Solanum lycopersicum: one gene and its partner. The protein of the gene in region 1 binds, or shares a complex with, the protein of each later gene. Links are inferred from orthologs where the notes say so. Each region holds a gene or a part of one and is shown on either strand. Other genes may lie near its edges.

Region 1 (5,968 bases):
CGCCAAGCATTTCTTCTACATGGCATTGAAGCTGAATATCGCTGGGAACTCTGCAGATCTGACTATTTTTCTCAAGTTCTTTAAGAATCTCTAGCAAACGAGTATAGCGATTACAGCATATCACCCTTAGCAGCAACTTCTCAATGTCAATACAACTCTGGTCAAGGGAAAATTCTGCTTCTTTTCCCGTTAGAGGATCAATAACAAATGTGCTATGAAGACACTTAATTCGCAGATCTGGTCCAGGTTCAATTTTTATAAATGGGCATGTTCCAATTTCGGATGTTCCAGAGTTCTTATCCAAATCCAACCAATACAAAATCTTCAGCCCAGGAGTACGCAAACTAGCAGAGTCAGACTCCCCGTCTTGTGATGTTTGTGTGGAGCCAGCACTGCCAGCCTGTCCAGTACTGACATCAGTTATGAGCTCAAAACGAATAGCATCTTTCCACCTTCCTTGACGAAGTGTTTGCACTTGCCTTATGACTGTGTCCATAACAAGTGCCACACAAAGCTCATGCAAGATAGAGTATAAGGTCATAAATGGATGGTCTGCAGCAGCCATTCTTCGTTCTAAATCATCACCAAGAGCATGCCGCCGAAAGTCATCCAGCTTCATAGGACCACTTCTCTCACCAACAAGCAGCTCCATATGTAATATCCTCCACATTGACAAGTGTCCTCTGTAACCGAGGGTAACTAGAACTTTAAATTCTCCTTCCACACGAAGCAGAACAGTACCATCAGAAACTTTGACTTCAGTAATGTCCTTAGGAAGCGAAACTTCAAGGAGTTTCGACCTAACCAGTGTGTCTAATTTCTTTAATGCTGGTTTTTGCTGGTCATCATTTAATGTGCTCTGCAAGCCTACATCTTCTATACATTTTGGCAAACGATCATAACTTCCGGTAAGAAGAACTTCAACAGCTGAAGGAACATCATAGATGGGAGCACGGGCTTGTTGTAGTCCTTCATGCATAAAAAACAACGAGTCGGCAGCTTGGGTGAAACATGTATCATGACTAGATAAAGTGGATGCAAGCTGCTGACTGTATTGTATCAACGGGACCTGCAAACCAGATAATTGTGTTGGTACTTTAAATACGGAGTTTGAACTGCAGTTTCTACGAGATCAATGATAAAGAATATAGGGCCAACCGTTGATTCTAAGGGTCCAGGAAGATTTGACAACCATATTTCTACTCACCTAGATACTGAATATAATACAAGTGTATCTTTCCTTCCAGAAAAAGACAGATGAAGAAATGAAGACATGAAAGGGAGAAGAAAGACATGAAGACAAACCTTGTACATAGCATTACCAACATATACCTCGAAAGAGTTTATTAAATCAAAGATTAAAGGTTCAAATGATGCTACAGAAAGTTGTTTGAAGCAAGATCTACAGGAAACTCATAGCTCTTTTGGTGTGACAGCAGTTCCATTGTTCCCACCCCACCCTATTTCTTTTACACATACTCTTTCTCCCAAGATTAGAAATGGGATAAGTCCTACTGTTCCTGGTTTGTCCTTCCTTTCCATGTTTTTGGCGTAATTGTTAGGTGACAAAGATCCAGTAGTTTTAGAGCGTGAAGAGTGATTGTGATTCTTTGAATTAGGTGGAGTGTGTGCTGTGTAAAATTATGTGCATATGTCCAGAAATATTGAGGTCTTTTAGTGGTGTTCATTGGCATCAATGGAGAAGAGGAGTTCACAGTGGTGGTTTTTTTTTGTCAAAACGTGACCAAAAATGGTCATCAATTTATTATAATTAAAAACATAGTGCAAAACAAGTTGGTCCAGAACAAAACAAAATAAAATAAAATAAAATAAAATAAACCCAAATTGTTAATTGCCCAAAGAGCAAAATTGTTCAGCTTTTTGTATATTGGAAACCTCTTCATCTTCTCCCTTCTTCAACGAACTGATCGCCAGATTGCTCATCTTCTCTACCATCTCATCAGAAAATGACAGTCTTCACGGTGGTTTAAGTGGTGGACAGAGGCGTTGCTGAAAAAAAAAGGTGATCGAAAGTTGTGAATGATGAAAATTTCGAGGAGAATGGAGGTCTTTAATTTTTTTGGGAAGTGGTTACCGATAAAGATGGAAAGTTATGGTGGTATATCAGATGTAAGAAATGGAAAGAGGTGGTCAAGGGATAGAGACGGTGAGGGAGAAATGGAGTGAATAAGGAAAAAAATTGAAAACTTCAAAATAAAGTTAAAAATAAATGACATGTCATTAAAAATCTGAAGGGTCAAAGGGGTTTAGAAGATTGTGTTTCATTGAGTCTAAAAGTTCAGTCGACAAAGTCGTGAATAGAAGGGCTTTGTTGGAGGTCTCAAGTTCGAAACACCTTGCATGTGAAAGCAAGGGGGTTTGCCTTCTGAGTCGCCTGGTGCGGGTTACCTCTCCTATGTGGTTTGCGAGCTATTGCATAGGAGTGGGGTTTTACCCTATGTGCACCCAAAAGGCAGCGGCTCCAGGTTTCCCTTGTCATAAAAAAAAAGGCGAGAATAGAAGGGTCTAATCGACAATCCGATTCAAATACAAGGGTCTCTTGGATCATTCCGCCTTTCATCAAATAAGCTGTTGGTACAACTTGAACAGAGCATCGTACAATCTTAAAACCTTTGAAGTTGTCCTCAACTTTTGTTTTCTTTTGGCAATTGTCCTCGACATTCACTATAACTAGAACTTCCACCCTAACTATCTGATTTTAAGTTTTAAATTACTCCTCGTGGTCCATCTTTTCCCAATTCCTAAAACAACATCCACCCTACTCATTTCACGGCTACCTTTCTAATCTTAATCAAGATCCATTTTTCTCCATTCCAACTCACAAATTTCACAAAAACAAATACATGACCAATATACATTCTGTCACTACTCTCTCAATGCATCAATAAAGAAAGAGAAAATCCTCTCCTTTTCCTCTTTCCAATTCACAAATCCTGAAACAAAAGAAACCCTAGAAGTCGAAAACTACTCTTCGCACCCCTCAACAAAGAAGAAAGAAGGCACACTTCTTATAACCCTTAAAGAACTCAAACATAGAATCCCCATCTGCCTAAGCCTGGAAAGAAAATTTTCCCCGTACCTATGCCGGTGGGAGGTAACGGGTACCTTTGGATTAATAAAGGGGGTCACAAATTGGGAAAAACACATCATTATATCTAAAAAATTAAAAAAAGATAGTGTTCAATCTTGAATGCATCAACATACATAATGAGAGAGGGAGTGAATAGATTAAAAAAAAAAGAAAACAACCTGCTGGCACCATTTGGATAGGACATTGAGACGAAGCATACGCTGCTGAGTCTTAACTACATATTTAAGAATCCCAATTTTCTTCTCAGAATCAGATAAGTTAGACGACTTGCACTTCTCCACCAATTCCTTCAACGTAACATACGACTCCTCAGCTGCTCTGCTTACCAGTGCCGAGAAATCCACCGTCTGCTGCCCTAATTCCGCCATCTCCGCAAAACCCTCCGATTAAATTACTCCGACGATCCCGAATTCCTACTAATACAATGCCATTTAATGAAAATTGACCGCCCAAACAATCAATTACTATTAGGGTTTGTAAAAATTGTGGAATTTGAAACAAAATATGAATCTCCGACCTGTAGAGAGAGTGAATGAAGCGAGTGTTGTTCTATTTTTTTTTTCCCTTTTTGATAGATCGGATGTCTGAAGGTAACGCGTAACGGCGGAAGGGAGAGGGTGTGCAAAATTGGAATATGGTACTACTAGTCGGAGAGAAGTCAAAACTAATATAAAACCTCTAAAGTTCTATTTGACCAAGTTTATAAAAATTCATCTCCTTAAATCATGTTGATTTAGAAAAAAATATAATATTTAGAAAGTTTCCATATAAAAATATTTATTAAGTGTGCGAAAAAATATTTTTATTGCGTTTTTTGATATACCTTTCAAAGTATGTGAAGCCTAAATATTGTTTGAGCTTATCTGTTGAGCGGTAAGAACTTATCTATTATTTTATTTTTTCTTTAAAACGGTGTTTAACAATCATTCATTTATTATTCATCTGTGACCTGAATTATTCTTCATGAAACTTAAATTTCTTGATTTACGCGTCTAATAAATCATTGCGAATTTACTTCTGGTATACTTGTTTAAAAAATTATCACGTAATAGTGAAATCTAATTATTATAGTCATAGTATTCGCCCACTTGTTTGTCCAGGTCCAGAGATGAACATGTCCTCGTAGTCCCTTATTACTCCGCCCCAGTTTCAGAATTCTCTTTCAAGAAATTACACATTTCTTGATTTTCTTAAAGTGATGATGGCTTCGTCTATTTGATAATTATATGCACCGTTACATTATTTATTCGTCAAAAAGTTTTAACTATTATTTTCAAATATTGTTTCACTACAAATTTTCAAGCTTTAAACTGGTTATTTTCACATTAATGAAGAAGATCAACATCTCTGAATATATGGAGTTTCATTCTCATGTTTGGAGGCATACCTTAACCTCAAAAACTATCACGTAATTAAAATTAAATAATGCATTGAGGTATAATGATGAAGGGAGATTCCGTCAATTTCATTATGAGATATATGACACTTATGCAATCAAACGCTTTAGCATAAATTCAAATTAGTTTCGTTTATAGGATCACTCTTTTCATTCTCTCATTTTTTATAGTGTGTTTTAATAGCTTGATGTCTGTATCTTAAATATCACATTTATTTTATACAACTAGATCATCATAGTCCATATATATTATTTGGACATTTTCAATAACCTAAAATTTAGGTTTGTGTATTGGACGGATCAGATGGATAGTTATGCTTAATTATTTGGCTTGTCGGATATTGATTTTTAAATAGACTGATCCACTAGCCAACTAATAAGGTAATGGTTCATTTAATGTCGGATTGGTAATTAAGGAATGGTGCATTGGCTCAATTGTTTCATGCTTTCTTTTTCACTTTCACCCACTAATATATCAATCTTCGATCAAACAAAATATTTTTTAGCTCTACTTAAGCAGATAAATGATAATTCTTTAATTATACATAATGAGAAATATTTGAAAAACTAAATTTTGAGGGTGCATTCACATAGGTATTTATTAATAACGATACTTACGGTAAAAATATAACTATAATAATTCTTAGTAAAGTAATAATTTATCCAATAAGAAAAATGGAGTAATCTACCCGGTATCGACAAACTGTTAAATTTTAATACGTTCACCAACCATTAATGTGATAATCCAATACTAATAAGTCAGTTTCGTGGTTGACTTATTAGTTTTGAATCTATTTTGAACAACCCTCTTTAATTTGATTTTTGAAAGAAAGGGTGAAACTTGAATAAGCAAAGCGAGCCTAGGGTACTCGCTCTCAATGACATTAGGCACTACCTCATTTGAGCTAGACATTTAGATGAAATAACGTAAATACACAACTATAAGTTTAGTATTCTCTAATTTTCTCTTCTTTTTTTAAACATTACATAATTTCCTTTTTAAAAAAATAATTTAGTAGAAGTTTAGAGATACATAGTCTTCTATCTCCTATAAAACACACTTCCCCAATATCATGCCTATTTTTTCTTCACTAAAACGCTCAATCTTCTGAATCACTTTTTGAATTTTGAATTATTAATTTTAATTAAAAACGTTTCACAACATTTAATATTAAATTTTGAATTTCAAAATTCCAAAAAATTGAAATTGCTGAAAATTGGACCATTGTTCACTGGTTCTTCTTCTTCTTCTTCTTACTCCATCATCCGTCTATAGTTCTTCTTCTTATTCTTAATCCATTATCTGTTCTTTTTTTCTTCTTGTTCAATGCTATATTACACCAGCTGTCTCTAGGTCTTCTTTTTCTTCTTACTTCATCATCCGTTTTTTTTCCCATTGTTTTATTACATCATATTAATGAGTACTTTTACTAATAGAAGGATTTATGATTCGGACGATG
Region 2 (3,950 bases), on another chromosome or scaffold:
GTTTAAAATAGTTTCTCTCTATAAAATAATTTTAATATTAAAAGCACATCGATATTTGTTTTTTTTCGTAATTTGACTTTCAAAAACACTTTTTAAAAAAATTATTCAAACACAAATTGCTTATAAAAACACTTTTTAAAAAAATTAGTCAAACACATATTGCTTATAAAAACACTTTTCAAATGAATTTGCTAAAAAGTTTTTTTAAAAAACTTGTTTTAAGAAAACGTTTTTGAAAATAAATAGTTTTTAGATTAGTATATATTCATTTAATCAGCAAATGTATTTTTAAAGGGAAAATTGTATATAGCAAACTAATAACCTAAAATAAATAGAGTAGGTAGGGTTTGATTTAATTATGCTTCATAGTAAACGTTTGCAAAAAAATTGTCAGGCGCCTCTATCCCAAAAATCTCGTTCGCCACTCTCCTCCAATCTCTCACTCGCTTCCTCACTTTTTACACAAACACAAGTGTATAAAAATTGTTTCTAATTGTATAAAGCAGAGAAAATTGTATAAATACATATATTTTTGTTCCTCTCTCTCCCCTCTTCCAGGTCTCGCTCGCCACTCTCCCAAATCTCGCTCGCCACCCTCGCCTTTCTCACTTATACAAACAAAAGCGAAATGTATAAATTGCGTTTCTGTTTGTATAAAGCATGAGAAAATTGTATATACACATGCAAGTACATATATTTTCGTCCTATACAATTATAATTATACAATAAAAATACCACCCTGCCCAATTTCTTTTGTCTTTCTCTCTTTCTCGTTTTATACAATTCTCAAATTGTATCTAATTTCTCTCTTTCTCGTTTTATACAATTCTATTCAATTGTATATTCCTTGTCAAGTCTTTTTTGTCTTTCTCTTTCTCATTTTATACAAATTCAAATTTTATATAATCGTTCTATACACTTATAATAATGCAATTTGCTTTATACGCTTCGTTTTTATACAGTTCTCTGCCCAAGTGTCTTTCTATTTTTTGTTTTATACACTTCATTTTATACAATTTGCTTCAACTGTATATGTATAGAGAATTATATAGTTTCTATGTGTTAAAGAATGACAAAAAGTCCCACATCGGTGATTAATGAGATGAGTGAACTCCTTATAAGGCTTGAGCAATCCTCCACCCTTTGAGCTAGCTTTTGAGGTGTGAGTTTCCTTTTGAGCTAGCTTTTGGGGTGTGAGTTACGCCTAAGACCTAATTTCACACTATGTTGAATTTTTTGTTTGCTATATCTTTTTTAAAACCTTTATAACATATTAAACAAATAAAAAATTGAAAAAATGTTTTTTTTTAAAAAAAATATGCGTTAATTTAAGCAATATGTTTATTCAATTACATGCTTGTATGATAAAAATAAAAAATAAAAATTACAGGCAACAACTCGGAGCTGAGACTATCTCCGACCACCGGTGACTGCCGTTCTTCTGCCACTCATAGCCGCCGTTGAAGGTAAGGTATGATTGACTTCTCACTTGTAGATGCCGATATCAGACATCTCGCTGGCTCCTTTTTTAATAATAAGAAAAATATTTCGTGCCTGTGCGTCTTATATGTATTTGTATTTGTATCTGAGCTTTGTTTCACTCATGCATGATATGAAATATCGTTGTGCATTTGAGCTGAATTTGGGGCTTTTTGGTTCTTTCGGAGCTTCAGGGATTTGTAATTTGAGGACCTTATTTTTTTGGGTCCTAAATCCACTGCTTGCTTTAGTGGCTGGCTTTAGGGTTGAGCCGCTGCAGTCAGAGATATGAGTGATGAATTCCTCCAAAAAATGGAGAAGAGAGAAGATGACAAAGAGTTAATGAAGTAAGTGGAATATGAAATTAGTGAGGTTTTGAGAGTGTAGGACAAATTTGGAACAGCGAAGAAACATAAGACTATCACTGGTTGCTTGTTTAATAAACTGCAGATCTCAGGTTCAGGGCTATTGAACGATTCGAAAGAGCTCATTCGGAGTTGAGTGAATGGCTACTCCGAGATAGAATTTGAAAAATTGAATTCAAATTTATAAGACTATTGAACAATTAGAAAATTGCAAAAAACGAAATGATTCCATTTGAACAGTAAGGGGTGATTAATCAAGTCTGGCAATGGGTTTGAGTGTCGAAGGAAATAGCCCCTTTGCAGAAATGCTAGAGGAAGACGGTGAAATGTTAGGATTGCTCGTTTGATAATCAGCAGGTCTTGGGGGTAAAGGCGGAGCTAGGATTTGAAGTTTACGGGTTCAGTGTTCTAGTCCTTGATCGTTCGGTATGGGGGATGGAATAGACAAGGATTTCTCTCGTGGGATCAGCTATCCAACTTCTATATGGAATAGCCAATCTCAACATTTTAGAACATATCGCATGAGATTGTTATCCTGCATCTTGCCAACTACACGCAGGATAAAATAATCTCTTATAAATTAATAATTTATACATATTAAATAGATTTCTTAAGACAAATATAGAGTTCAGAGAAAAGTTGTTGATTTCGGCCAAACCCGTACCTTGAAAGAGTGTAGTAGGGTGGTAAGTTTAATGGACATAATACTTATTAGATGTAAGTTTTTCTTCTGTTTTCGGATTGATTACAGAGGATTTAGGTTTCTGATTGTTTAATTATTTGACTGCAAAGATCTCAGAACCAAAATCTCTGAAAACTGCACATAATCAGGTTTTATAGATTCTGTTTATTTCTCCACATCTAGATCGCTCTACGGCATTGCAATTCAGTAATCTTTTTCTCCTGTCCTGACAGCTTCCCTCAGAATACATGGATTCGCAAAGCCAGAATACTTCATTGCAGCGGCTGCAAAATGTTGAGAAGGTAAATGTTTCTACAGGATTATTGACTTAAGATGGGTTGATTTCAGTAGCTGCTATTCTTTGTCATCAAAATACTTAATGTTCTGATTTCAGAATTGATACTACAATATTATTCCTTCCTTGCCCGAGTCCTTGTTACTTGTTCCCCTATCCTGTATACCAAAATGTTTCAAGAAAGAAAGAGAGCGAGGAGAGTACTTTTTGAATTTAGGTGAAATCCATATTTCGTTGATTGGGTGAAACACATAGACAAGCTTGAAGATATATGGATGGTGTTATGCCTCGGTAAGGGACTCCACCATTGAGCTCTCCTAAGCCTTCTGGAGTTCCGGATCCTTCAATTTCTGGGACAACCGGACAAATGAAATGAATGAGAACAAGAGCCGCTTGGCTAGATAACCATGACTAAGAATTTCATGTCACCCACCTAACTGTCAAAATGGGCTGACCCAACCCAACTCAACCCATCCTCAAATCAGCCAAAATAATATAATTCGAAGTCAGAGAATGAAGATGGGAATAGTGTTGAGATGACGACAATGATGAATAAATCAAAGACGCTGTGGACCGAGAATAGGATCTGAAAGGGCTTTTCAAACTTCTGCTTCTGTTGGTTGCTTTCTTCCTGTCTGGCTCATTGAGTATCTTCCACAAACTCCAGGCTGATCTTCAACAGTTGGAAATCAAATCGTATTCGAGATCGTCCTGTCATATGCCCTGAATATCTACTGACACGAGTTTTCTCTGGTCTAACGGAAACAGCATCTCTGTTGTTTCCTAGTCATTGGTTTCTTCAGATTAAAAACGTGGAGATGATATAGCATGTCAAGTGCAAAGGCAACTAATCGTAATTTGATGAGTAAATCACGATCATAACTTTCAATGCGGAGTCAGTAATCACTTTTCTTGATAGAAAAAATTGTAACTGAAACATTACTCTCATACCTTCTGTTGCTGTATCTTCCTCTGATGCTTGCAGAGGATAGTCAGAGTTCTGGAGCTAGCAGGAGGTGTAATGGATGAAATGGCAAATCCGAGCGGCCCCAGGAAGGAGCTTATTAACAACCATTGTAGTGAGTTCATGCAACTAATCAAGGTAAGGACATACTTTACTTCTTTGCAC

The links. The genes of interacting proteins can lie anywhere in the genome.
Region 2: mediator of RNA polymerase II transcription subunit 14 (region 1) and mediator of RNA polymerase II transcription subunit 11 share a complex: the UniProt entries of both Arabidopsis thaliana proteins name them as parts of the mediator complex. The link is inferred for Solanum lycopersicum from reciprocal best matches to the Arabidopsis thaliana genes SWP and AT3G01435.

What each region holds. Positions count from the first base shown.
Region 1 is NC_090800.1:84,077,034-84,083,001, forward strand, and holds the start of mediator of RNA polymerase II transcription subunit 14, read right to left. Parts: upstream 3,805-5,968; 5' UTR 3,481-3,804; coding exon 3,271-3,480; intron 1,070-3,270; coding exon 1-1,069. UniProt on the Arabidopsis thaliana protein: Component of the Mediator complex, a coactivator involved in the regulated transcription of nearly all RNA polymerase II-dependent genes.
Region 2 is NC_090803.1:5,625,740-5,629,689, reverse strand, and holds the start of mediator of RNA polymerase II transcription subunit 11, read left to right. Parts: upstream 1-1,150; 5' UTR 1,151-1,466; exon of another isoform or gene 1,467-1,471; intron 1,472-2,759; 5' UTR 2,760-2,774; coding exon 2,775-2,828; intron 2,829-3,806; coding exon 3,807-3,923; intron 3,924-3,950. UniProt on the Arabidopsis thaliana protein: Component of the Mediator complex, a coactivator involved in the regulated transcription of nearly all RNA polymerase II-dependent genes.